4 linked regions of the Saccharomyces cerevisiae S288C genome follow. Each later gene encodes a partner of the first gene's protein in a complex. Each region holds a gene or a part of one and is shown in the gene's direction. Other genes may lie near its edges. The genes, in order: SSL2, RAD3, TFB1 and TFB5.

What was found.
Region 2: SSL2 (region 1) and RAD3 share a complex: the UniProt entries of both Saccharomyces cerevisiae proteins name them as parts of the 7-subunit TFIIH core complex.
Region 3: SSL2 (region 1) and TFB1 share a complex: the UniProt entries of both Saccharomyces cerevisiae proteins name them as parts of the 7-subunit TFIIH core complex.
Region 4: the proteins of SSL2 (region 1) and TFB5 are in contact, whole or in part, in a cryo-EM structure (PDB 7K01), measured with the Saccharomyces cerevisiae proteins. Residues at the interface, in NP_012123.1 of Saccharomyces cerevisiae: Met561 (codon at 7,358), Ala563 (codon at 7,364), Tyr569 (codon at 7,382), Leu570 (codon at 7,385), Tyr717 (codon at 7,826), Tyr718 (codon at 7,829); in NP_076886.3 of Saccharomyces cerevisiae: Asp13 (codon at 1,773), Ser15 (codon at 1,779), Ile16 (codon at 1,782), Asn61 (codon at 1,917), Ile62 (codon at 1,920), Met66 (codon at 1,932), Asp67 (codon at 1,935).

What each region holds. Positions count from the first base shown.
Region 1 is NC_001141.2:80,010-88,718, reverse strand, and holds SSL2 (TFIIH/NER complex ATPase/helicase subunit SSL2), read left to right. Parts: upstream 1-5,677; coding exon 5,678-8,209; downstream 8,210-8,709. Other genes in the region: REV7 (Rev7p), read left to right, coding at 3-740; AXL2 (Axl2p), read right to left, coding at 882-3,353; chaperonin-containing T-complex subunit CCT2, read right to left, coding at 3,834-5,417; kinetochore-associated Ndc80 complex subunit NDC80, read right to left, coding at 8,570-8,709. UniProt on the Saccharomyces cerevisiae protein: ATP-dependent DNA translocase. Component of the general transcription and DNA repair factor IIH (TFIIH) core complex. When complexed to CDK-activating kinase (CAK), involved in RNA transcription by RNA polymerase II.
Region 2 is NC_001137.3:525,269-533,770, forward strand, and holds RAD3 (TFIIH/NER complex ATP-dependent 5'-3' DNA helicase subunit RAD3), read left to right. Parts: upstream 1-1,813; coding exon 1,814-4,150; downstream 4,151-8,502. Other genes in the region: RPH1 (Rph1p), read left to right, coding at 1-491; adenylate kinase ADK2, read left to right, coding at 706-1,383; ATP-dependent RNA helicase BRR2, read right to left, coding at 4,262-8,502. UniProt on the Saccharomyces cerevisiae protein: ATP-dependent 5'-3' DNA helicase.
Region 3 is NC_001136.10:1,081,566-1,089,612, forward strand, and holds TFB1 (TFIIH/NER complex subunit TFB1), read left to right. Parts: upstream 1-3,499; coding exon 3,500-5,428; downstream 5,429-8,047. Other genes in the region: SUM1 (Sum1p), read right to left, coding at 1-2,751; SSF2 (rRNA-binding ribosome biosynthesis protein), read left to right, coding at 6,016-7,377; PIB1 (phosphatidylinositol-3-phosphate-binding ubiquitin-protein ligase), read right to left, coding at 7,654-8,047. UniProt on the Saccharomyces cerevisiae protein: Component of the general transcription and DNA repair factor IIH (TFIIH) core complex, which is involved in general and transcription-coupled nucleotide excision repair (NER) of damaged DNA and, when complexed to TFIIK, in RNA transcription by RNA polymerase II.
Region 4 is NC_001136.10:602,955-605,547, reverse strand, and holds TFB5 (TFIIH complex subunit TFB5), read left to right. Parts: upstream 1-1,736; coding exon 1,737-1,955; downstream 1,956-2,593. Other genes in the region: VPS41 (Vps41p), read right to left, coding at 1-1,540; PET100 (Pet100p), read right to left, coding at 2,149-2,484. UniProt on the Saccharomyces cerevisiae protein: Component of the general transcription and DNA repair factor IIH (TFIIH) core complex, which is involved in general and transcription-coupled nucleotide excision repair (NER) of damaged DNA and, when complexed to TFIIK, in RNA transcription by RNA polymerase II.

The sequences.
Region 1 (8,709 bases):
TTATGAATAGATGGGTAGAGAAGTGGCTGAGGGTATACTTAAAATGCTACATTAATTTGATTTTATTTTATAGAAATGTATACCCACCTCAGTCATTCGACTACACTACTTACCAGTCATTCAACTTGCCGCAGTTCGTTCCCATTAATAGGCATCCTGCTTTAATTGACTATATAGAAGAACTTATACTGGATGTTCTTTCTAAATTAACGCACGTTTACAGATTTTCCATCTGCATTATTAATAAAAAGAACGATTTATGCATTGAAAAATACGTTTTAGATTTTAGTGAATTACAACATGTGGATAAAGACGATCAGATCATTACGGAAACTGAAGTGTTCGACGAATTCCGATCTTCCTTAAATAGTTTGATTATGCATTTGGAGAAATTACCTAAAGTCAACGATGACACAATAACATTTGAAGCAGTTATTAATGCGATCGAATTGGAACTAGGACATAAGTTGGACAGAAACAGGAGGGTCGATAGTTTGGAGGAAAAAGCAGAAATTGAAAGGGATTCAAACTGGGTTAAATGTCAAGAAGATGAAAATTTACCAGACAATAATGGTTTTCAACCTCCTAAAATAAAACTCACTTCTTTAGTCGGTTCTGACGTGGGGCCTTTGATTATTCATCAGTTTAGTGAAAAATTAATCAGCGGTGACGACAAAATTTTGAATGGAGTGTATTCTCAATATGAAGAGGGCGAGAGCATTTTTGGATCTTTGTTTTAAGTGCAAAAATGAAATTTGAAGAATGGAATTAAAATTAAATGTCTCTAAGTATAAAAACTAAATAAAATATAGGGTATCTGTAAACCACTAATAAAAAATAAAACAGGAAAATAAAATTAAGCAAAATATCGTTGCGTATAATCACAGCATTTCTGGGATGCGTCCGTGAATGTCCTTAACTTGACCAACATTGACATTACTCTTATTTGAAAAATCTACTAACCTTTTCTTACTTGGTCTTCTGTCTGGTTCCATGCTATGGACCCAGCAAAAATTTTCACCATCTTTAACCGGAACAAAATCGTCAGAAGATGAAGTTGACATTGTTGTGGGAGTGATTCCGTTTTTACCGCTTTGAGAGTCTTGAATATTTTGTAAGTGGCGGTTACGATGCTTCGTTACGTTATATGGTGATGGTGTTACTGATTTTCTTACGGGAGAAGGGCTAATATTGCTGTTCCAAGGGTCCAGTGAAGACATAGTGACATCCCTTGACGTACGTTTTTCCTTCTCTGGTGCTTCTAAATCGAAAAGTTTTTCTGTATCAACAGTTTTTTGTGATCCGTAACTGTCTCTGACAATATCAGAGACTGGTGACAGGTTGCCAGTATATCGCCAGGATTTATTTACTGCTGGTTCACTATCCATATACACAGAAGAAGACCTATTCTGTGGGTCAAAGAACGGGCTCTCTGGAGGCTGTACTGGGGGTTTTGCTAATAATTCTTCTTTACTTTGGGATTGGAACTGATCATTGTATGTATTCATACCTGATAGAGAATCTCTCTTTTCATCCACGCTGGAAATATCAGATTCAGTGGCAGAGTGGTTATCCAATTTCAAAGTGTTCAAAGCAGCCAATCTTCTTGCTATTGAAGTATCATCGTACGAGGAAGCATCATCATCAAAGGGGTTGTTCAAAGGTGTAGCGTTTTCTTGATTTGGTTTATTTGCAGGATTATTCAAATCAGGTCCACTAATAGCATGCGGTAAGTTTTCATCGTCTGGATTTTCCCTTCTGCGTCTCCAGAATATTAGGAAGCAAATGAGAGCTACTAGGATAACGCCTAATGGGATAGCAACACCGCACGCAATTGCTACTGCTTTTTTATTGTGAGATGAAGTTTTATTGGCTGCTGGCAGCGCTGCTGGAGCAGAAGAAGTAGCAGCAGCGGAGGTAGAAGAAATTTTTGCAGTGTAAGTAGAAGATGTGTAAGAACTTGTTGAGGTGGAGTGGTGAGAACTTCTTGTGGACGTTGCATTCGCACTGTGGTTTGAGTGAGTTATCTTTGAATCCATGCCAATGATGTTAAAATATAGCTCTTGAGATTGTGAACCTTGGTTCGCTTTCAAACCTAATGAAAGCTTGTCGAAATTCTTGGGCACTTCTCCAGCTAATGTTAAATTAGATGATTGGAATTTCACCCAGTCATGGTCTTGGCTTGAATTAGTAAACTCTAATGAAACGTTTGTATTCACGTAGTCTGTAAACTGAGAAGGCAAAAAATAGTAGGAGAACCATTCACCCCTTGTAGCGTTAATATTGGGAAGAGAACTAATGGCAAACAAATCCGTTGTGGAGACAACTTCGAAGTTGAAATAAATCACATCACCATAAGTATCATAAATGGACACAGAAAAATTGGCAGGATTGGAGTTCTTACCGAGTAATTCATCTGGGACAGACCCGGAAATGGTAGCATTATCTAATGCCACCCAGTCTGGAGCATCCAATAAGTTTATAGAACCCAATTTATCAGAAGAAATAGGATCGTCATCGAGATAAACATAGTTTAGAGGTAAGTCATATGAAACGTTACCTGTGTCAGTAACGTTGATTATCAAACTATTTTGAATAGAGGTAGTTAACTGGTGAGCCCCGATGACTAATTCGAATTCTACCTCAACGGCAGAAAATCCTTCAATGTCTGTAGCGATGATGACAAAACTGTAGCTTGTTTCTGGAGCAATCGCCGAGTTTATCACCGGTGCCGTCCCAGTAAACTTCAACTCGCCAGAATCGAAGAACAGCCAATTGGGTAACGGCGCATTATACAACTGAGAACGTCCGTAATACGACACAATGGATTCTTCGTTAGTGAACATTGAACGGTCAAAAGTCACGTTGAAGACTTCATTAGGATCTAGTTTCAGAGCGTTTTTGCCGTTAGTATAACCATAGTTTTTTAACAACGCCAATAGATTGAAATCTGACGATAGCGAGATGGATGGACGGTTTGTAACAACAAATTGGTATGTATTGTTCAAAGACGTGCTGTCGGCAGAGTCCGTACCCTCGAGTATTACATTGAAATACAACGTGGTGTTCGCATCAGATAGTAAGTCAGAAGAAGGTTCACCTGAGAACGTTCTAGAACTAGAGTCAAACGAAAGCCAGCTCGGTAAGTCGAAGCAATTGTATGTTATTTGAGCTGTCTTGTCTACAGACGATTTATAGGTATCATTGGAAATTTGAAATGTAAACGATTCATTGACTCTTGCCACTGGGGGGTATTGTTTTCCGATAGGATATGCCTCATAGGGCGTGGCCACTACTAGATGGAGTAGTGATATAGTAGCTGTCAGCAATAATGAAATCTGAAGCTGTGTCATGGTAAGTGAATGCTTCTTGATATACGTAGATGTTGGAAGCAGGAAATCGTTTCGAGGAAGATATAATTTTTCTATTAAGTAATTGTTCTGTTCTTCTAGTGATGGTGGCTGTTGCAGTGTCAATCACTACAGGATGTGAGAGTAAAGAATAAGAAAATAAGTTCTCATATGAAAAGTGAAAATTACTCGACAAAGGAGGGCGACTCTCGGCAAGGAGCTTTGAGGTTGTGGAGATGCTATCTTTAACCATACCTACGATGGGTATTATTACATTCTTGAGACAGGGCTCGAGTACTGCTCGAAGAGGAAACATAAGTTGCCAAAATTTATTTGTGACGCGAATTGCCAAAAGTTCTATGACGCGTTGTTCTTTTTTTTTCGCGTCTTTGAATTATATAGTGGATAATTTTTGCGTTCTGTTTCTAATTATAATAATGACAGTGTGGCGGTTTATTATTTTCGAGGTATATCCTAAATATGTTACATATGTTGTCTATTGGCGGTTCTTGGTCTTGCACGGATGATGTTATCCACCCTTAGTAGAACTTCAGCGGCTTCAGATGCAGAGCTGACTACTGCTCGTTTTAGCTTGTAACTCTCGACGATACCTAACTGTCTCATGTCGGCAATGGTTCCGTTGTTGAGATCTAAACCTGAGGTGGAGATACCGTTGTATATGGAGGATCTTAGTTTGGACACAAGTTCGCTGCTGTCAAAACCAGCATTATCTGCCAAAATGGTTGGCAGTTGTCTCAGAGCACGGGCAAAAGCCTCCACGGCAAGGGACTTCTTTCCGTCGATGTTTTGAGCTTCGGTGTCCACAGCTTTTGACATGACCATCTCGGCGCAACCGCCGCCAAGAACAGTTCTTGTTTCCTTTGTGGTCTGTGACAACACGGACAATGCGTCATGCAGGGATCTCTCAGCTTCATCAAGCGTTTGGTCGGTAGCACCTCTTAGGACGATGGTACAAGCTTCACCAGCTTTGCAACCACTAAACTTCAAGAATGGCTGTTCACCAAGCATAATTTCCTCGATCACGTCACATTCTCCCAGTTTGCATTTACTTGGCTCGTCAAATGTAGACACCACCTCACCGCCTGTAACCAGGGCGAGCCTTTCTACACCTTCAAAATCAGCATGCTCAATTGAGTTTATGCCCAAATCTGTAAATAATTGCTCTGGATAGTCATAAATTAGTTGTCTATTGATGAAAGTGTTGATACCAAACTTGGAAATCTTGGCAATTTTATTCTTCATCTTTTCACGTTCTGCCTTTTCTAGTTGTGCCAATTTAGCAGTAGAATCGACTTTGAATTTGGTGCCGAATATTTTGACCTTGTCTGTATCCAAAGTTGTATTGGCGATTAGAATCTTAGCATTTTCAATTCTCTTGGGTTGGTTGTTACCAAATTTTTTGGCAAGAATGAAACCTTCGTCAAGGAACGAATCTGATAGCTTTCCACCAAGAATCTTAATGATCTGAATATGTTCTAAGTTAGTGGAGCCCTTCAATCTCAAAATAGCATTAGTTGCTAATTCTGCGAAGTGATCCTTATCCTGAGACAAAATTTTGGAAGATAAAGTAGTCTTGGCAATATGGATCAGATCTTCACGGAACATGGTCTTATCATGAGAGTTGTCAACAGCCGCTTTCGTTAACGCATCCAATGCGGCTGCTGAAGCTAGTCGGTAACCTTCAATAATAGTTTGAGGGTGGATTTTGGATTGATCAATCAACTTCTCTGCTTCTCTAAGCAACTCTGCGCTCAAAACAGTAACACTAGTGGTACCATCTCCAACTTCGTCATCCTGCACCTTACTGATGTTCACCAACACTTTGGCTGCGGGATTATCCAGCGGAATTGACTTCAGAATCGTAGCACCATCGTTTGTTACCATGCAAGTGTTACTGGACGCACTTTGCAATAATTTATCCATCCCTTTTGGGCCTAATGTGCTTTTCACCAAATCACCCACGGCAATGGCACCGACAAACGCCGACAAACGGGCGTTTTCCGCTCTTTCTTCTGTAACCTGGTCTCCAAATATCTGTACACTCATCCTGAATCTTTTGAGCTTTGTACGACTGACTCTTCTTGCCTATTTAATGGCCACCTTTCATCCTCTTTTTTATTGCTCTGCTCTTGTCTTTTAAACTCGCCACCGCGAAGAGAAAAAAATTTCAGATCGTTAGAAACGAGGTTTTTCTTCTAAGAAGTATAAGGAAAAAGGTCCTTAGTAAGGATAGATAATAGTAATGATATCTACATTATTTAGTAAAAGTAGCATCTACTGACGTTGGAATCAGTGGAAGATAAATCATGACGGACGTTGAAGGCTACCAACCTAAGAGCAAGGGGAAAATCTTTCCAGATATGGGTGAGTCCTTTTTCTCATCAGATGAGGATTCACCAGCTACTGATGCAGAGATCGATGAGAACTATGATGATAACAGGGAAACGTCAGAAGGACGTGGAGAAAGGGATACCGGCGCCATGGTAACAGGGTTGAAGAAGCCTCGGAAAAAGACCAAGAGTAGCAGGCATACAGCGGCGGATTCCTCTATGAATCAAATGGACGCTAAGGATAAAGCGCTTTTGCAGGACACTAATAGCGATATACCAGCAGATTTCGTTCCAGATTCCGTCTCTGGAATGTTCAGAAGCCATGACTTTAGTTATTTGCGGTTAAGACCAGACCATGCTTCCAGGCCCCTTTGGATCTCGCCAAGTGACGGTAGGATCATTCTGGAGAGTTTCTCTCCATTAGCAGAACAGGCTCAGGACTTTCTGGTCACCATTGCAGAGCCTATAAGTAGACCCTCCCATATTCATGAATACAAGATCACAGCATACTCTTTGTATGCAGCTGTTTCTGTAGGGTTGGAGACGGATGATATCATTTCAGTTCTGGATAGATTATCCAAAGTACCCGTTGCTGAATCGATAATCAACTTCATTAAAGGGGCTACCATTTCATACGGTAAAGTGAAACTAGTTATTAAGCATAATAGATATTTCGTGGAGACTACACAAGCAGATATTCTGCAAATGTTGCTGAATGATTCCGTCATCGGGCCCCTAAGAATAGATAGCGATCATCAAGTACAGCCACCAGAGGATGTACTACAGCAACAACTTCAGCAAACCGCTGGAAAACCCGCTACTAATGTTAATCCGAACGATGTGGAAGCCGTGTTTAGTGCAGTTATAGGTGGTGATAATGAGCGGGAAGAAGAAGATGATGATATTGATGCCGTTCACTCCTTTGAAATTGCCAATGAGTCTGTTGAAGTCGTAAAGAAAAGATGTCAAGAAATCGATTATCCCGTGTTGGAAGAATACGACTTTAGAAACGACCATAGAAACCCGGATTTAGATATTGATTTGAAACCTTCCACTCAAATCAGACCCTATCAAGAAAAATCGCTGAGTAAAATGTTTGGTAATGGGCGTGCTCGTTCAGGGATTATTGTTTTGCCATGTGGCGCAGGTAAAACTTTGGTCGGTATTACCGCAGCATGTACTATAAAAAAATCCGTAATTGTTTTATGTACTTCATCAGTCTCCGTCATGCAATGGAGGCAGCAATTTTTACAATGGTGTACCTTACAACCTGAAAATTGTGCTGTTTTCACCTCTGATAATAAGGAAATGTTCCAGACAGAATCCGGTTTGGTTGTTTCCACTTATTCAATGGTGGCAAACACAAGAAACAGGTCTCATGATTCACAAAAAGTTATGGATTTCTTGACCGGTAGGGAATGGGGGTTCATTATTCTTGACGAAGTTCATGTGGTGCCCGCCGCAATGTTCCGTAGGGTGGTCTCCACCATCGCAGCACACGCCAAATTGGGACTGACCGCAACGCTGGTTAGAGAAGATGATAAAATTGGTGATCTGAATTTTTTAATTGGTCCAAAACTTTATGAAGCAAATTGGATGGAATTATCCCAAAAAGGACATATTGCAAATGTCCAATGTGCAGAGGTTTGGTGTCCCATGACAGCAGAATTTTACCAAGAGTATTTAAGAGAAACTGCAAGGAAAAGAATGCTACTGTATATCATGAATCCAACAAAGTTTCAGGCATGCCAATTCTTAATTCAATATCACGAAAGGAGGGGTGATAAGATCATCGTTTTTTCAGATAATGTTTACGCCTTACAAGAATATGCTTTGAAAATGGGAAAACCATTTATTTATGGTTCCACACCACAACAAGAGCGTATGAACATTCTGCAAAATTTCCAGTACAATGACCAAATCAATACCATATTTCTATCAAAAGTTGGTGATACTTCCATCGATTTACCAGAAGCTACCTGTTTAATTCAAATATCTTCGCACTATGGGTCTCGTCGTCAAGAAGCCCAAAGATTAGGAAGAATTTTAAGAGCTAAAAGACGTAATGACGAAGGTTTCAATGCGTTCTTTTATTCTCTGGTTTCTAAGGATACGCAAGAAATGTACTACTCAACAAAGAGACAAGCGTTTTTGGTAGATCAAGGTTACGCATTCAAAGTCATTACACATTTACACGGAATGGAGAACATTCCAAATTTGGCATATGCTTCACCCAGAGAACGTAGAGAGCTATTGCAAGAAGTATTATTGAAGAACGAAGAAGCTGCTGGTATCGAGGTCGGTGATGACGCTGACAATTCTGTTGGGAGAGGTTCAAATGGCCACAAAAGATTTAAATCAAAGGCCGTTAGAGGTGAAGGTTCATTGTCTGGTCTTGCTGGCGGTGAAGATATGGCATATATGGAATACAGTACCAATAAAAACAAAGAACTGAAGGAACATCATCCATTAATCAGAAAGATGTATTATAAGAATTTGAAGAAGTGAATAGGCTTGGTTTCATTGTCACCTTCCTATTTTGAATCTATTCAGTCATAATACCTTTTTGTTCCCACCGTCTTCTTATTCTTTCGTCGCTGTTCTTTCTTTTATTGATTCGTCACGTCCATTTTCTTCCATAATATAAAAAATAAAAAAAAAATAGAACATTCCTAATTAAAGCATCCAAATATACTTACATATATTTATTTTAAAAATAACTACATATCAATACTTACTTAAATTGGTTTGGAATACTTGAGAAGGGGAGTGAGGGTGGAATTGAACAAAATGCAGGTTATTAAAATGCGGAAAGGTGGGGCTGAGCTTTGCTGTAGATTGCTCGGGTATTATATATCATTTATTTTATTAATTTGTTACGTTATGTTCAGTTTCAAACTCCAAATTTCGTAACTCTTCAATGACGTTTCCTAATTCGTTTTCAGAGTTTTCCAATGACGATTGAATATTAATTTTAAATTTACTTGTTATATCAATAACATGTATCA
Region 2 (8,502 bases), on another chromosome or scaffold:
CGCACCCTGAAAGACCAAATCACAAGACAGCAAATAGAATACTCAAAAAGGAATCTCCTGTCGAGACATCAAAATCAAATCTTATACTTTCAAAGGTTGCATCCACTCGCCAAGAGGATTCTTTTACAAGCCGAAATGACGATCTGGACAAAGAACAAGGCTCTTCTCCATTAAACTCTAAGTTTGCGCCCGAAGAAATCGTGTTATCAGGTAAGAACAAGATTTATATTTGTAAGGAATGCCAAAGAAAGTTCTCTTCTGGTCACCATCTTACAAGACACAAAAAATCCGTCCACTCTGGTGAGAAACCTCATTCTTGTCCCAAATGTGGCAAAAGATTTAAAAGGAGAGATCACGTTCTGCAGCACTTGAATAAGAAAATACCGTGTATTTCAAACGAAACAACAGTAGATGCTCCAATAATGAACCCTACAGTGCAACCGCAGGACGGGAAAGCGGCCATTAATCAACAGAGTACACCTTTAAACTGACTCACGATTGCCAGTTGTTTACCGAGATCTCTCATTTTGAAGGCTCTTAAAATGTGCTCGGTCGGCCGGGAATTCGCGAAAACCCACATTCACTAATAAATACCATTACAATAACCATCATTATATAGATACACATGTGTAGAAAAGGATAATATACGTATATATATTTGTTTGTAAATCTTTAAATTTTCAGGAACAGGGTTAGCAAGCATCAATGAAAGCAGACGCGAAACAAATAACACATCTACTCAAACCTCTTCGACTTTTATTATTGGGGGCTCCAGGGTCAGGTAAAGGGACACAGACTTCGAGATTACTAAAGCAAATTCCACAATTATCTTCAATTTCGTCAGGCGACATTTTACGTCAGGAAATAAAATCTGAATCTACCCTAGGCCGAGAGGCTACTACCTACATTGCTCAAGGCAAGTTATTACCGGATGATCTCATAACGCGTCTGATAACTTTTCGTCTTTCGGCATTGGGTTGGTTAAAACCATCTGCCATGTGGTTGCTCGATGGATTTCCTCGAACTACTGCGCAAGCTTCTGCCTTAGACGAGCTGCTGAAACAGCATGACGCCAGCTTGAATCTAGTGGTAGAGCTAGATGTACCCGAATCCACCATATTAGAAAGGATCGAGAACAGATATGTTCACGTTCCTAGTGGGAGAGTGTATAACTTACAATATAATCCTCCCAAAGTGCCAGGATTAGACGATATCACCGGAGAACCATTGACCAAGAGGCTTGATGACACAGCGGAAGTGTTTAAAAAAAGGCTAGAAGAGTACAAGAAAACAAATGAGCCTTTAAAAGATTATTACAAAAAAAGTGGGATTTTTGGTACCGTCTCTGGGGAAACATCAGATATTATCTTCCGAAATTATTGAACCTTATAACCAGCAAATTCGGCTAATAGGGTGATTTAACGCTACACTAACTGCAAGTATATGTTAACCTTCCCCGAGACTTTGAAAAACCGTGACTCTAGTTGGAAGTCAGCATCTCGTCAACCAAATGATTACAGTTCACTTTGAATATTCTGAATAGCCTTTATGATATGAGTTAATCCTATATTAATCATGGCCGACGGCATTTAAGCGATGTATATGAAATTTATGAAAAATTAAAGTAGCGTACTTTATGCTACATAGCTTTTGAAAAGAAATCTCTGGTCTGTAAATAATAAATAAATATATATATATGTATATCTTAAAGTTGACAAAGTACTGTTAGCCATTCATAGAAATACTATATTTCATCTTGGGTTGAAGGTGATAATCGGCCCGATTTGACTACACTTTAAGAAGATTGGAAACAATGAAGTTTTATATAGATGATTTACCAGTGCTTTTTCCATACCCCAAGATATATCCAGAGCAGTATAATTATATGTGCGATATTAAAAAGACTCTGGATGTAGGTGGAAATAGTATCTTGGAGATGCCTTCAGGAACAGGTAAAACGGTCTCATTACTATCCCTCACAATTGCCTACCAGATGCACTACCCAGAACATAGAAAGATCATATATTGTTCTCGTACTATGTCTGAAATTGAAAAAGCTTTAGTAGAGTTAGAGAACCTTATGGATTACAGAACTAAAGAACTAGGCTATCAAGAGGATTTTCGAGGTCTTGGCTTGACATCAAGAAAAAATTTGTGTTTGCATCCCGAAGTGAGTAAGGAACGAAAAGGTACAGTAGTCGATGAAAAGTGCCGTAGAATGACAAATGGGCAGGCGAAGAGAAAATTAGAAGAGGATCCAGAGGCAAATGTAGAATTGTGTGAATACCATGAGAATTTGTACAATATTGAAGTAGAGGATTATCTTCCAAAAGGCGTATTTTCTTTTGAAAAACTTTTGAAATACTGCGAAGAAAAAACACTTTGTCCATATTTTATTGTTCGTCGTATGATTTCTCTTTGTAACATTATTATTTATTCTTACCATTATCTATTAGATCCTAAAATTGCTGAAAGAGTTTCCAACGAGGTTTCTAAAGATAGCATTGTCATTTTTGATGAAGCGCACAATATTGATAATGTGTGTATCGAATCGCTGTCATTAGACTTGACAACGGATGCATTGAGAAGAGCCACACGAGGTGCTAATGCGTTAGATGAACGTATTTCTGAGGTCAGAAAGGTTGACTCACAGAAATTACAGGATGAATACGAAAAACTAGTTCAAGGTCTCCATTCTGCAGATATTCTTACCGACCAGGAAGAGCCATTTGTGGAAACACCTGTATTGCCCCAAGATCTTCTAACAGAAGCAATCCCGGGAAATATACGAAGAGCCGAGCATTTTGTTTCATTTTTGAAAAGATTGATAGAATATCTGAAGACCAGAATGAAAGTTCTTCACGTTATTTCAGAAACGCCAAAATCATTTCTACAGCATTTAAAACAGTTAACTTTCATAGAAAGGAAACCTCTTCGGTTTTGCTCAGAAAGGCTATCATTACTTGTAAGAACTTTAGAAGTTACAGAGGTAGAAGATTTTACTGCATTGAAAGACATAGCAACTTTTGCTACTCTTATATCAACATATGAGGAAGGGTTTTTACTAATTATTGAACCGTATGAAATCGAAAATGCTGCAGTTCCGAATCCGATTATGAGATTTACTTGCTTAGATGCATCGATTGCCATCAAACCAGTCTTTGAGAGATTTTCTTCCGTTATTATCACTTCAGGGACCATATCACCATTAGACATGTATCCAAGAATGTTAAACTTTAAAACTGTTTTACAAAAATCATATGCCATGACCTTAGCCAAAAAATCATTTCTACCAATGATTATTACCAAGGGTTCTGATCAAGTTGCAATTTCTTCAAGATTTGAAATCAGAAACGATCCTAGTATTGTTCGTAATTACGGTTCTATGCTAGTAGAGTTTGCCAAGATCACACCTGATGGAATGGTTGTTTTTTTCCCCTCATATCTATATATGGAAAGTATTGTTTCAATGTGGCAAACAATGGGTATTCTTGACGAAGTTTGGAAACATAAATTAATTTTAGTTGAGACTCCTGATGCTCAAGAAACTTCTTTAGCCTTAGAAACCTATAGAAAGGCTTGCTCAAATGGGCGTGGGGCAATTTTGCTTTCTGTTGCTAGAGGAAAGGTATCTGAAGGTATCGATTTTGATCATCAATATGGCAGAACTGTGCTGATGATAGGTATCCCGTTTCAATACACAGAATCGCGTATTTTGAAAGCTCGCCTAGAATTCATGAGGGAGAACTATCGCATCAGAGAAAACGACTTCTTATCTTTCGATGCGATGAGACATGCAGCTCAATGTCTGGGGAGAGTACTGAGAGGGAAGGACGACTATGGTGTAATGGTACTAGCAGACCGTAGGTTTTCAAGAAAAAGAAGCCAGTTACCAAAATGGATTGCTCAAGGTTTGTCTGACGCCGATTTGAACCTTTCGACTGACATGGCCATATCCAATACCAAACAATTCTTGAGAACAATGGCACAACCCACAGACCCTAAAGACCAAGAGGGTGTATCTGTTTGGAGTTATGAAGATTTAATAAAGCACCAGAATAGCAGAAAAGATCAAGGTGGATTTATTGAAAACGAAAACAAAGAAGGAGAACAGGATGAAGATGAAGATGAAGATATAGAAATGCAGTGATGCAATGATACGCTTTTGCTATAAACTGTATATATCACAATTAGATTAAATAGCCGCAAGAGAATGTTATATATTGAAATCCATTCGATTATCCAGGACTAAACAATGATTTTATTTCACATTTATTTCAAAGGACAACTCTTTATCTGCGTCAAGATATGAATCACAGACACACCAAATTGTTAAGTTATGTTTACCAGATGTCGGAGTGTCAAATTCCAATTCATATTGCTGAGTCTCTTTATTTAAAGTAACTTTCTTGATCGCATAAAGCTCTTTTTTAGATACTTCACCTAAAACCAACCACCAACTTTCTAGCTTATCAAACGGATACTTTTCAGATGTTACTTGTAAGTTCTCAGGTTCAACATCTCTTGTCAATTGAATGGTAATTTTCTGTTTTACACCTGAAATTAACGAATCAGAATTATTCAACGAATAAGTAAGTTCAACGTTGGGGTAATTGTTAACAAACGCGGCGACCTGCGCAAGCTGTGAATCAGTAAGCGTTAAAATTTCATCCCTCTCTTCATCCTCAAGGGCCATTATATCATAGACCGTCTCGACGTTAATTTCTTTACATTTTTCCAAAATTTTGTTGTTGAAGTGTGGAATCTGTCTCAACGGATTATCAACGTCCCATACACCCTGAATCAACATCTGCGCCAAATCCATGGCGGTAGTAGCATTCAAATACCCGTTTGCTGAAAGGATATCAACCACTACGTTAATTAGTGGAACAACCTTTTCTAGAATGTCTTTTAAATCATTTTGAAAGTCGACAGGTAATTCAAGACGTGAAAAATATGCTTGTAACAATAAGAAAACTTTAAAGCTCACCGAACCAGAAGAGGTGTGTTCAGGGAATCTCAATGGTAGTCTTTTACTTAATTTGACAAGTAATGCTCTGTCTCCTTTTCTGAGTGGAACACTTTCGAATTCTACTGCTGTTGAAAGAACATACAGCATGTTTTTGAGCGTTGACGTATTCGATAAAGAAGAAACGAATGACTGAATAGTAAAAAATGATACGCCATAGTGAGAAGCAATTAGCCCGTTGCTCAAGGTAGAAATGATTTCAGTTGCTTCATCATCTCCTCCATTAACTTCTGCGGTTACTTCAGCTTCTGTATCGTCAATTTCAATGAAGGATGATTCAACTAAGTCATTCAAACAAGTTTCAACTAAATTACTCAAAAAAACTGAAATTCCATGTGGAGACGTATCCCTTACGCCATAATAGCTTGGATTCACATGGATACGACGATAGAAATACGAATATGTAAACCAGTCAACACAATCTTGTTTGCTTTGTATAATAGAATTTGCTATCTCGTTGTTCAGAGTATCATGAATAATATACTGTAGGTAACTCTCAGTAGGCAAAGGCTCAATTAAGAATTTTTTGTAGTAGGCCTTCATGTTGTGACTTGTCAAAATTAAAACCTTGCCTGCCATTGAATCGTTACCACTAGCTAGTCCCACCATTTCTAGAAGTTCATTTATGGTATATGGCATATATTTATGCTCTGCACCATCATAAAGGTTGGTTCCTAAAATAATCACTTCATCAGTTTTACAAGCGAATGCAGAACAATCCTTAGAAATGAGTAAAACCGATACCGCACCATATTCGTATAACCTTTTCACAATTCTTTCATCATTTGATGCCATCCCCTTATACAAAATACCAACACCGTGTTTTAAAGGTGCTCTTAGATGACCATCTGTTAACTTTTCAATGTATGGTACAATTTGCTCTTCTTCAACGTTCAACATATCCCATTCAATTGCTTTTGAAAACTTCATAAATGCAGACGCAACTTCCATACAATCCTTTCTAGATGGTAAGAACACCGAACTGGAATTACGATTTCCCGCTGCAGCAGCAGATGCTTCAAATGCCATTTGAAGCATCGAAAAATTGAATGATATGTGCTCAACATCTTTAAATGACTGAATATTAATTTCAAGAGGCTCAATTCTTTCGCTTGGAGAAAAGTTGTAGATGTTTGACTTCGTCATACCAGCCCATTCACCAAAATCACGAGCATTTGCCAAACAGTTCGAAAGGCAAACAAATCGAATTTTCTTTTCAAGTTGGGTTGCTATAAATATCATTCTAGAAATTAGCGTTTCATACACAGCACCGTAAACACCTTGGCTAATCTCATGAGCGTCATCATATATCATTAATTCTAAACTTTGGATGTTCTTCCTTTGTCTCCAACGACGTGACAAAAGCTCAAATTGCACGGGGGTAGCCAAGAGAACATGGCTTTTTGCTAATAATTTTAAATTTAGTGAAGGATCATTTCCTAGCTTATTTATTATCTTACCACCAGCAAGATGAGAGAACCTTTTATTCCAATCAGATAGCAAAAAATCAATTTTTTCCCCAGACGGATTGATATAAACCGCTCTTCCTTTATTCTGTCTCCAATGATTTAACAGTGCTAATTCAGCCATAGCTGTTTTACCTGTGCCCTTTCCTGAACCTACAAAGACCGAGTCATTCGAATTGTAGAGAGACTCGAAGACCTGGCTCTGAATCTTGTTGAAAGTTTTAAATTCAAATACTTCGGAAAAATCATCATTGCCAAGCTCTGATGTTGAAATACTAATATTCTCCAGAAGGGGAGTAGGAGGAGGAAATTTTTTCGGAAGTTTAAATCCATTGAAGGAAACTGGAATCTCGAATTCACTGTGCCACCAATTTTCTGATATCAAAGTAAGGAAGAAATTAGGTGGTAAGTTATTTTGATTGTGCTGCTTTAACTCATAAGTAAAGGATAAGGTAAATTCATGACCAACTATATCTGGAGTGATGAATAGTACGTCATAATAAAGTATTGAATCACCATCAGTGTCTTCTAGCATGAGCAAAAAAGGTTCAAGGGAACCGTGTACATTCATATCCCATATCCAGTCGGCTATTATTTCAATGTTGAACCTCATAACGCTACGGGTAATTGGCTGAGCGTTGCATGTTACGGACATTTTGGGAAATCTTTTCAATAAATCGTAAACCTGTTTTCCATATTTTTCAGATCTGATTGCACGACCAACTTCGGCAGGTGTTTCTAGCTGTAGATAATCTCCCCACGGTACTGTAGAGGCTTCCAGCCTTTTAATCACTTCGACAGGGCATGTTTTAAACTGTCTTAAAGGACAGTTTGTTGGCCACATTTTAGTTGTGGCAGATTTGCAAAGATTTAACAACATCCGTGTGGGATGTCCCCATCCTCTCTTCAAGCATATTTCAAACATAGCACGCAATAACCTACCAGCATTTTGGTGAATAAACACTATATCAGAATTAAGTGCAAAACCTTCGAACTTTAGCTGGGAAAAATAAGACTGCAGTAGTACATTCACTTTTGCTAAAGGATCATCAATATCTTCTCTGATAGGAATGGGTGCTTTCTCTAGAAGTTGTTTTAGTTCTCTTTTCTCTTCATATCTCACCGATACGTACTTAAACTCTTCCGACATTGAGAATATTCTAAAAAGATCAATCTGAGTTGTATGTTCATCTAACTCTCTATTGTAAACATCCATGGAAGCATGATTTATGTAAAATGACGACGCTATATTTCCTAGATCGGTCGCCTCAATTACATCATTTTCAGCATCATATAACACCAACTCTTGTTCTTTTAAAATGCATAGGGCCGAATGGACTAAGCTTTCTCTAAACTTTTTCAATTGCCCATCACTTGAAATATCAGGTACTTTGTAAAGCATAGGGGAAGCTAACATTCTGACATATAGGTAAGTATACGCCAACCAATTCACAGCATCATTCCTGCACTTAATGTTACCCGCGACAACTTCTGCATTTAAGTTGTCAACTAATTTTGAAACAAATTGCGATTCTATTGGTAATTGTTGATTTAAAACCGAGAGATAATATTGAACATTCGATTGGTCTGTTATTATAATACCCTCGCCAAATGTGTCATATCTCGGTCTGCCTGCTCTACCTAACATTTGAAGTACATCTTGTGGAGAAAGTTGTTCCCAGGACCCCTTTTCAGGTGAATAGACATCTGTTCCTTTTATAATCACTGTATGAGCAGGTAGATTAACACCCCATGCTAACGTCGCAGTGCATACCAATACTTGCAACAACCCGTCTGCAAATAAATCTTCAGATAAGGATCTGTCACTTCTGGTCAGCCCTGCGTGATGCGTCCCTATACCGCTTTCAATCAACTTTCGTAGACTTGGATCGAGTACGTTGGCTGCTTCTGTCTTTAAAATCTGCTTCGATCCTGCATCATTTTTGGTTAATTTATGAGTAATGTTCTCTTCAGCAAATTTATTTTTCAACCATGTTGCTGTTCGTG
Region 3 (8,047 bases), on another chromosome or scaffold:
CTCCCACCTGAATTCCATCAAGAAGTACTCCAAACTGTTAACGTATTTCTCTGTCAGCGTTGTCTTGCTCAAAATTTCAAAGGCAAGTTCCGTCTCTTCTTGAATATCAGGCTTGAAGAAATGCGCATTCATTTTTTCATGCTTTGATTTAGCAGCATAATCCTCCTCATTGATGCTAGAGTTGATCAATTCCTCTTCTTTCGCCTTGAATTTAAATTCCAGGTACGCTCCTGTGGTAATGGGAACGTCCGGAATATCTCTCCGGTAGAAGAAGCCTTCCCGGCAGATTAATTCAATGGGAGTTGCCGTTAACAATGTATTGCGTGACTCTGTACCCAAACCGAGGTTTCCGTTGCCATTGCTACTATCGTTAGCAGACTCAGTATCGTTATGGATAGATGAAGTACCTTTGGATAAATCTGCGGAGATGTCTCCTGAGACATTCTCCACGGTGGCCAGCGTTCCGCTATTACCAACACCCCTTTCTCCCTCATCTTCTTCACCTTTTGTATGATCTTCTGTGCGTCTCTTCTTTGGTGATATGCTCGTATTCTCTGTTTGATCCAATGCACCGTCATCGCCTGCTGTTCTTTTCCTTATCGTGTCCGAAGGTTGTGAGTTTTCTAATGGAACGAACGTGGTAGTTTCTTCATCTCCCGGGGTCTTTCTTTCATATTCTGCATTCTCCTTGGTAATTGCCTCTTCCCCAGAATTTAGCATGGACTGTATTCCAACTTTGTGAACCGTATCGGCAGCGGATATGGTTAGACCCATCTTGAGAGAGTCGCTGTTTGCGTTTGAGCCCTCATTGTCAATATCGACGAGTTTTTCTTGCTCTAATGGTTGATATCCTTCCTGTTGGTGGTCTGAAATGCCGCTGATGGAGGCCGATCTTGGTTTTGGCGACATTGAAGAACCTTTAGTTGTTGGTTTTTCTGCACTTTTTATCTTTGAACGGGTGGAGATCTCATTCAAATTTAAGTTCAAGTGATTATCATGTATTATCGAAGTCATTCTTTTCCTCCTCTCTTCTTCTTTCATTGCTTTTAAGAGTTTCTTATTAGACTCCATAAATGACTTTGCTTTATCGCGATCGTTATATTTCATATTAACAAGCATTTTCTCCCTTGAATCACGTCTTTTATCTAATTCTCTTTGTTGTCTATTCATCTCTGACGTAACCGCCGCAGCAGCGGCAGCTGTTGCTGCTGCTGGAGAGGAAACGGGTGGTAATTTGACCGTAATATTACCGCTGGCGTCATAACTTAATGAAAACTGATCGTTAACCATTAATCGGCGAATATCACTATTGATATCTGAATTAGCTGAAAATTTAATGACGTTGTCAGTATTATTATTATTGGTCGTATTATTACCACTATTTTCGCTGGATGATTTGATGGTTATTATTTTCTCCTTCTCGGTTTTATTTTCTTCAACATTTACCTTTCCTTCCACGTTATTATGAACAGTATCAGTAGTATTCGAATCCTCTGCGTTTGGATCACCATTAGTTGAAATTAGAGAGGCCAGTTCTAAACTTTTAATGTCTATTTCTTGTGTGGCTGACCTTGAAGTCCGAACCGGAGCCGGTTGTGACACAGGATTGGATGGAGATGATGGTATTTGATGAAATTTGGAAGATGGAAGCAAGGAATTTATTGGAATCTCGTTTTTAATCCGATTAGATGCATCTGACTTATCTATCGTATCCGTGGAATTGGATATCATTGTTTCCACTGTTCTCTTTTTTGGGGGCCTGCCTCTTTTTCTTTTGATTTGAATTAAGTTGTTCGGCGTAACAGGTGTTGGTGTGATGGAGCTAGAATTAGCAGTGGATGGTCGCTCTTTACCATTTTCATTGTTCGTTCTTTGCGGTACGGAAGTCAAGGACATATCAGCATCATCTCTTGATGATGAAGGGGCAGATAATAAAAGCGACTCTTGTTTCGTTGATGGTTCCACAAAATACCTTTTGGATTTAGACGTTTGTACTACGGCAGTCGGTAAAGTAATATTTACTGGTGAGAAAGGAGCACCCTGATTGGATGCACTTTTGAGATTGACCGAGGCTGCGTTTGACACTAACTTATTCATTGTGGAGGTCGAGGCATCTTTTCTTGGCCTGCCAGGTCCCCTTCGAGAAGAAGAGGTATTATGCTGTGAACTGGTATTGTTGGATGAATTTTCTATGAGAAGGTTAGAGTGATTTACTTTCGAAGTATTTTGCAACATTGTCGATAATTTGTTCAATCGTTCATTCAAATTATTGACCAATATGTCAGTATTTACTTGATTCTTCATGACATCATCCAGCTTATTTTCCAAAACTGATTGGTTGTGTGATAAAACTTTTAATGAGTTAAACAAATCCTGCACAGAATCAGTGAGGGAAGTGTCTTTGGAAAGCAAAGCCGTCTTCAAATCGTTGCATTGTTTTGTGACTTTGTCCATACCCTCTTTTAGGGCTTCAATAGATGAATGTGGAAAGGCCTCGGAATCTTTTATATGAAGCGGATTTGAACCAAAACCAGAGCCAACTTGTCGTTTTATATCAGAATCATCACTGACTGGTATGTCTGTGATGGATGGCAAAGCTTTAGCGTTCGCATCTGTATCTAGCTTCCTCAAACTATTAGCTTGATTTTGAGCACTGGTAAGTGCTAACGTATCTACGTCATCTTTGGGTCCAGACGGAAGTCTCTGTTCATTGGTTATGTTATCAGAAGGGGCTGTGGTGTTCTCAGACATCCCCGCAACAAACGAATTTTGTTAATTATGTATGAAACTTTTCGTTTGATCTCAATAATACCACTAGCGACTAAATTTTTATGATACTTAGCTACTTTAAACAAGTCCCTTGTGCTCTGTTTGCTGACACTTTTGATAAAATATGCCTGTGTATAATTCTTTTAGCAGTTTATTTCAAACACAAATGGTATTAAAAGGATAGATGAAAAAAAAAAAAAAATTAAAGCCACTAGTAATGATACAATCGTGGTATCACAAGCGCTGAATGAAACAAGTGTGGCTATCTATAGCGGATGCAAGTGGAGAACTTGTGAATCCAAACTGAAATATTTTGCCATCATTTGTTGTCCTTTCCCTTTTCCATTCAGGAAAAAAAAAAAAAATTTGACGTCGCCGTCGCGTCGCAGTCATATAATTACAGCAATTTATCTTGTTGAACGACGCAAATTAATGGAAATTGTGACTTACATAGTAAGTATTAGTAAACGTAGTTAAGGCCACGTGGGAAAGATATGAAAGGAGTGTAAGTAATGGATATCGGTCTAACGAAAATGGAAACCAATCTTTAAAAATGATAGTATGATTCGACAGTAAACTAGAAAAGCCACAACCCGTGGGACATGATAAGGCTGCTCGTTTTTGACGCAATTTTTAGACAATACTGAAATTTAGCATAATAAGCTTTCCCAGTGAAAGTAATAATATTTAACCTAGGGTAGGGGTAGGGAAAAAATAAAAGTAAACCATAATGTCACATTCCGGAGCTGCCATTTTTGAGAAAGTTTCTGGGATAATTGCCATAAATGAGGATGTTTCACCCGCAGAATTGACATGGAGGTCTACGGACGGTGACAAGGTTCACACAGTTGTCTTATCCACTATTGACAAGTTACAAGCTACCCCTGCTTCCAGTGAAAAAATGATGTTGAGGCTAATCGGGAAAGTGGATGAGTCAAAAAAGAGAAAAGACAACGAAGGAAATGAGGTTGTGCCCAAACCGCAACGTCATATGTTTTCGTTTAACAATAGAACAGTTATGGATAATATCAAGATGACCCTTCAACAAATCATCTCACGGTATAAAGATGCAGATATCTACGAAGAAAAGAGAAGAAGAGAGGAGTCTGCGCAACACACAGAAACACCAATGAGCTCTTCTTCTGTTACTGCAGGGACTCCCACACCACATCTCGATACACCACAATTGAATAATGGGGCTCCGTTGATTAATACAGCCAAACTAGATGATTCTCTCTCTAAAGAAAAATTGTTGACCAATTTAAAGCTACAGCAATCTTTACTGAAAGGAAACAAAGTTCTAATGAAGGTTTTTCAGGAAACAGTCATTAACGCCGGTTTGCCTCCATCTGAATTTTGGTCAACTAGAATTCCGTTATTGAGGGCTTTTGCCTTATCTACTTCTCAAAAAGTTGGGCCTTACAACGTTTTGTCAACTATCAAGCCGGTGGCTTCATCGGAAAACAAAGTCAATGTTAATTTGTCAAGAGAAAAAATTTTGAATATTTTTGAGAACTATCCAATTGTAAAGAAAGCTTACACTGATAATGTGCCCAAAAATTTCAAAGAACCAGAGTTCTGGGCAAGGTTCTTCTCTTCGAAGTTATTCAGAAAATTAAGGGGTGAAAAGATCATGCAAAATGATAGAGGTGACGTAATCATTGACAGGTACTTGACATTGGATCAAGAGTTCGACAGAAAAGATGATGACATGCTATTGCATCCTGTGAAAAAAATTATAGATTTAGATGGTAACATACAGGACGACCCAGTTGTACGAGGCAACAGGCCCGACTTCACTATGCAGCCAGGTGTGGATATTAATGGTAATAGCGATGGTACCGTGGACATCTTAAAGGGTATGAATAGATTGAGTGAAAAAATGATTATGGCTTTGAAGAATGAGTATTCAAGGACAAATCTACAGAACAAATCTAATATTACAAACGATGAGGAAGATGAAGATAATGATGAAAGAAATGAACTGAAAATCGATGACTTAAACGAAAGCTACAAGACAAACTATGCAATCATACATCTGAAAAGGAACGCACATGAAAAGACAACCGACAACGATGCGAAAAGCTCGGCAGACTCGATAAAGAATGCAGATTTGAAGGTTTCTAATCAACAAATGTTACAACAGTTGTCATTGGTCATGGATAATTTAATTAATAAGCTAGACTTGAACCAAGTAGTTCCTAACAACGAAGTCAGCAACAAGATCAATAAAAGAGTCATAACTGCAATCAAGATTAACGCCAAACAGGCTAAGCATAACAATGTTAATTCAGCACTCGGCTCTTTTGTCGACAACACTTCTCAAGCAAATGAATTAGAGGTGAAAAGTACCCTACCAATAGACCTATTAGAAAGTTGTAGAATGCTACACACAACGTGCTGTGAATTTCTAAAGCACTTTTATATTCATTTTCAGAGCGGTGAACAAAAGCAAGCCAGTACCGTCAAAAAACTTTATAATCATTTGAAGGACTGTATTGAAAAGCTGAATGAGCTATTTCAAGACGTCCTTAATGGTGATGGTGAATCTATGTCAAACACATGTACCGCCTATTTGAAGCCAGTTTTGAACTCCATTACTTTGGCTACTCATAAGTACGATGAGTACTTCAACGAATATAACAACAATTCGAACTAGAAATATAAAGGCTCTCCAGTTGTTACCACTTTTTACATTCATATTTTTCATCTATTTACTGCATGTTACATATTACATAAAACTTAATTGTGTGTATTCTTCCTTTTTGGTCTTTAGTCTCTATGTAAACAATAGAAAAACGCGGGACTCGATTAACGCTGTGCTGCACTGATGCAGCCGTGCGTGTAAATAAAACATTTAACGTGAAAACGCGCGCGAATGGCTTGTGAAACAAACAAGAAACAAACGGGAAATATTTCAGCATGTGATGTGGCTGAAAATTAGCAAACGATTCGTCAAAATAAATCAGTAATGGTGCTTTAGTTCTATTACAGCTTGCTAATGGTTCAGTAATATTTTCAAAAATTTTGCCAAACAGACCTAAGCACTTGCAATACTCCAGACTGTTAGTTCAGTCATTATCTATCATCTTGGACGATTTTGCAATTTTTTAGTGTAGATGCATCTCATCGACGGGCTTGTATGAATGATATTAAATAGGCAAAATAAACTAGTCTAGCTAATATTCGACTAAATTGCAGCTGCTAGGTCACCATCCCGCACATACCTTAGATATTTTGGAACTAATGGCTAAAAGAAGGCAGAAAAAGAGAACGCATGCGCAGATCACACCCGAGCAGGAACGAGATATTCCTAAATCCATGGTAATCAGAGTGGGACAAACTTCATTGGCTAACCATTCTCTAAACCAATTAGTAAAGGATTTTCGCCAGATCATGCAACCGCATACGGCCGTAAAACTAAAAGAGCGCAAGTCCAATAAACTGAAGGATTTTGTTGTTATGTGTGGCCCATTAGGTGTTACGCATCTTTTCATGTTCACTCAATCTGAAAAAACAGGAAATGTCTCGCTAAAGATAGCTAGAACTCCACAAGGTCCTACTGTTACTTTTCAAGTATTGGACTATTCACTGGGTAGAGATATCAAAAAATTTTTGAAGAGACCTAAATCGTTAAATAATGATGATGTATTAAATCCTCCATTGCTAGTGTTAAATGGGTTTTCCACATCGAAAAGATCTGATGAAGACGATCAGGATGTAAACGTGGAGAAGGTTATTGTTTCCATGTTCCAGAATATTTTCCCACCTCTGAATCCTGCAAGAACTTCGTTGAATTCTATCAAACGTATATTTATGATCAATAAAGACAGAGAAACGGGGGAAATTTCTATGCGCCACTATTTTATTGACATTCGAGAAGTAGAGATCTCTAGAAATCTAAAAAGGCTTTATAAAGCCAAAAATAATCTAAGTAAAACAGTGCCGAATTTGCATCGAAAAGAAGATATTTCTTCTTTGATATTAGATCATGACTTAGGCGCCTATACATCAGAATCTGAAATTGAAGATGACGCTATTGTGAGAGTGGTTGATAATCAGGACGTGAAGGCAAAACATTCTCAAACTTCGCTGTCGCAAAAAACACCCGTTAAAATGACAGATAACGAAGAACGTGAAAAAGGAATTGAAGAAGAAGATGTGGAAATGGAGGAACCTAAGCCTTCAGAAAATTCGCAACCAACTCCACGTAAGAAGGCTATCAAACTGACTGAATTAGGACCAAGATTAACTCTAAAACTGGTCAAAATAGAAGATGGTATTTGTTCAGGTAAAGTATTACATCATGAATTTGTTCAAAAATCAAGCGAAGAAATCAAAGCCTTAGAAAAGAGACACGCTGCAAAAATGAGGCTGAAGGAACAAAGAAGAAAGGAACAAGAAGAAAACATTGCTAAAAAAAAGGCTGTTAAAGATGCTAAAAAGCAACGTAAATTGGAAAGAAGAAAAGCTAGAGCAGAAGAACAGGGTGAAGGTCAAGGGAAAGATGGTGCAATGAGCGATGATGGATCTTCATCGAGTGAAGATGAGCATTATAGTGATGTACCAGAGGATTTGGATAGTGACTTATTCAGTGAAGTAGAATAATGCACGATATGTATATATATCCTCCGTACGTAACATCACTATCCATATAGTAGCCATGACTCCGATGGACTTAAAGAACCAGGAAGTGTCTGTTTATTCATAGGTGAGGGAACACCTCAAAGTAAATATTAATGAATATATAAGATCATAATTAAACAAATATATAGAAATCTTTTACAATTAAAGAAAAAAATAAAAGAAAAGGGAAGTTAAAACTTCGATTATTAACAGCTGAAAAATTAAACTTTGTAATGAAAAGCAAATTGGGAGTTATCGTTAAAATACGGCATCATGGAAAGGACAAAAGTTCCTTTTAACAAAAGCATGTCCATTTCCCTTCTGGGCTGCAGTCATTTGCGCCCTTTTGTGAAACCAGTTCTTAATACACTTATAATGGAAAACACACAAGCATTCTAGTCTCCCAACTTTCTCACCGGGTTCCATATTCTCAAAACAAATCGGGCACTCCTTAATTGCATTATCTGTTGTATTAGGCGATATCTTGTACACTAACATTCTATTTTGAAAGGCAGGGCTTTCTTTTACGGAGTCATCTGCTGCATCTGACGTATTCGTATGTTGTTGGGCATTTTCAGCTCTCTGTATGCAATCCTCTACGTGCTTTCTGGTCTCTTCTTCATCAGGAAACTGTGTGAGATCTGAGTTACAA
Region 4 (2,593 bases), on another chromosome or scaffold:
TTCTTTCCATAAACCAATCGAAATGATCCTTCAATGATAACTCTTGAACCCTGATGGCATCGTTGGAACTTATCAAATAGTATTCTGGTGTTGTTTTATCTATATGTTTACCGAGGTGATAATCATTTATAGACAATTTTTCATAGTTTTTCATGATAACTTCATCATTATAGATTTCATCACCATTAAAAAGATCAACAATTTTTAATTCTGGAGCATTCCCTTTGGCTAATAAGTTTTCTGGCCGCTTGCTAAAATTCTTCCCCTCCTTCATATCTTCATCTATGGTTGCTTCCTCTTCAATATCTATATCAAAACCTAGGCATAATAACTGATCATCCTTAAACGATGCAAGCCCTGTAATCAACATTGACACAGTAAAATGGCATTCTAATTCAACTTTCTTATCAGGTGTCCCTCTAAAACTCGATGCAGCACTAGACAAGAGAGATCCGATGTTTGTCGTAGGGTTAAAATGACTCATATTATTACTTTGAGAATTAGAGTCACCGGATTTGATCGAATTTGAATCCTTGGTAAAGGAAACTTTAAATAGCCAAATATTAGATCCCCATCCGATAACGACACGATCACTTTCTAAAAAATGAACATGGGGTCTAAATAGATCTGGCCTTACATCCTGTACGTTAAAAATTCTGGAGGGGAATGGAATATTCAAAAGCTGTGATCTTGTAGGAACATCGCAAAATGTTATTCCATCATCATCCATCCATAATATAAGGTCACCCATAGTATAAATTCCCATGATAGGGCCCTTCATATCAGAGGATAGGTCATCTTTTCTTGTTTTTTTCTTTTTCTTCTTGTTTAAAACGATGTCGATTCTATTTCCTAGCCAATTTCTCTGAGATAGTACAACGTCGCCAGCCATTCCACCAGAAACAAACATTCTGGATGCTTGAAAATTTGAGTGCAACGCTACAGAGTTTATAGGTCTTTTGAAATCGTATTGTGTAATGTTTTGTGGATCATCCATCGATCCGATAATCACTGTCCCGTCAATAGATCCCGTAGCAAAATATTTTCCGTCAGTGTTAATACAAAGTATCGAAGATCTATGGCATTTGATGGTTTTAATGGGTTCGAACGCGCATGTAGTTAAGTGTAGAATGCCTGAGTGTGTACCAAATGCAAAAAAAGTATCACCAAATAAACATGAAGAGATCGAGTCTCGTTGAAAAAAGTTCTTCGGGAGTTGACTAATTCGTGTGTACTTCAATAAGGGGGGCTCATCTTCGTCATCCTCATCTTCATCATCGTCATCATCATCATCATCATCATCATCACCTGTTTCTGCATCCGTCGCACTTCCTGTTATTGTACTCTCATCTGTTCGAGAAGCTACTCCATTTTCCGCTTGTGATATGCAACTAACACTTTTTGTTGGTGAAGTTACATTAACGTCTTCCCTCTTATTATCAACATTATTCTCGTCAGAGATGGAATTACTCTCATCAATTGTTCGTTCGCCTGATTGTTGATCCAAAACAGAATCATTCTGATGATTATCTGTAGTCATTAATGTCTAATAGTAGGTATATACTCTTCGTTAAAATGCTTTTTTATTTTGCATATATATTTTACAACAGTCTCAATAGCCCTTTTAATTTTTCTTTTGTATCGTATTATTGAAAAAAGACGAGCAAACTGCAGTAAGATAGAAGTGTACTCCCAATAGAGACAAAGCCAAGATACTTTTGTAAAAGAACGAAAAAATGGCTAGAGCAAGAAAGGGTGCACTGGTTCAATGTGATCCATCCATCAAGGCGCTCATATTACAAATTGACGCCAAGATGAGTGATATAGTACTAGAGGAGTTGGATGACACCCATCTTTTAGTAAATCCCTCGAAAGTCGAATTTGTTAAGCATGAGCTAAATAGGCTATTATCTAAGAATATATATAATCCTATGGATGAAGAAGAAAATCAGTAATTATTGCTCATTCAGCTTTTTCAATACTATTTGAATAGAGCATGACCTGCATAACCAGGTCAGACATGAATATAGAGGGGAAGTGATGATCTAGTGGAAATACGACTATACAGGTATGTACATGTTAGAATAATAAATATAAGGAAGAAAAAGTGGTCAGGTGCAAGTATACATCTTTAACCGTTTTCTTTTCTCATCCTTTTTTGAGAGCCAAATCCCGTTTAATTTTTTCTTTTTCCTCCTCAAGGTCTAAACCAAACTCCTCTTGTATCTTTTTCTCCAACCTAAGCCTTTTCTCTAAACGTTCTTTTTTCATCCTTGCCAGTTCAGCTTTAATCTCATAAGGCTCTTTTGGTATTTGGTTCAACGTTGCAGGATCTGGCCAAAACCCTGGAACATTTAATTTTTTATCAGTATCTGTACCAATATAGTACATTACAGCAACAGGTGCTAGCAAACAAAATGAAAATCTAAAGATCTCCAGTTGCGCCCTTGTATATTTAAACTTGAAGTTATTAAATAGACCCATTTTGTACTTGTCGAAGTGATTACTTTTGTTTGTCAGCCCTTATTAAATTGTTATAGAACAGAAAATATCAGCAAGATGCGCTGATATATTGGAATTATACGGGAAAAAA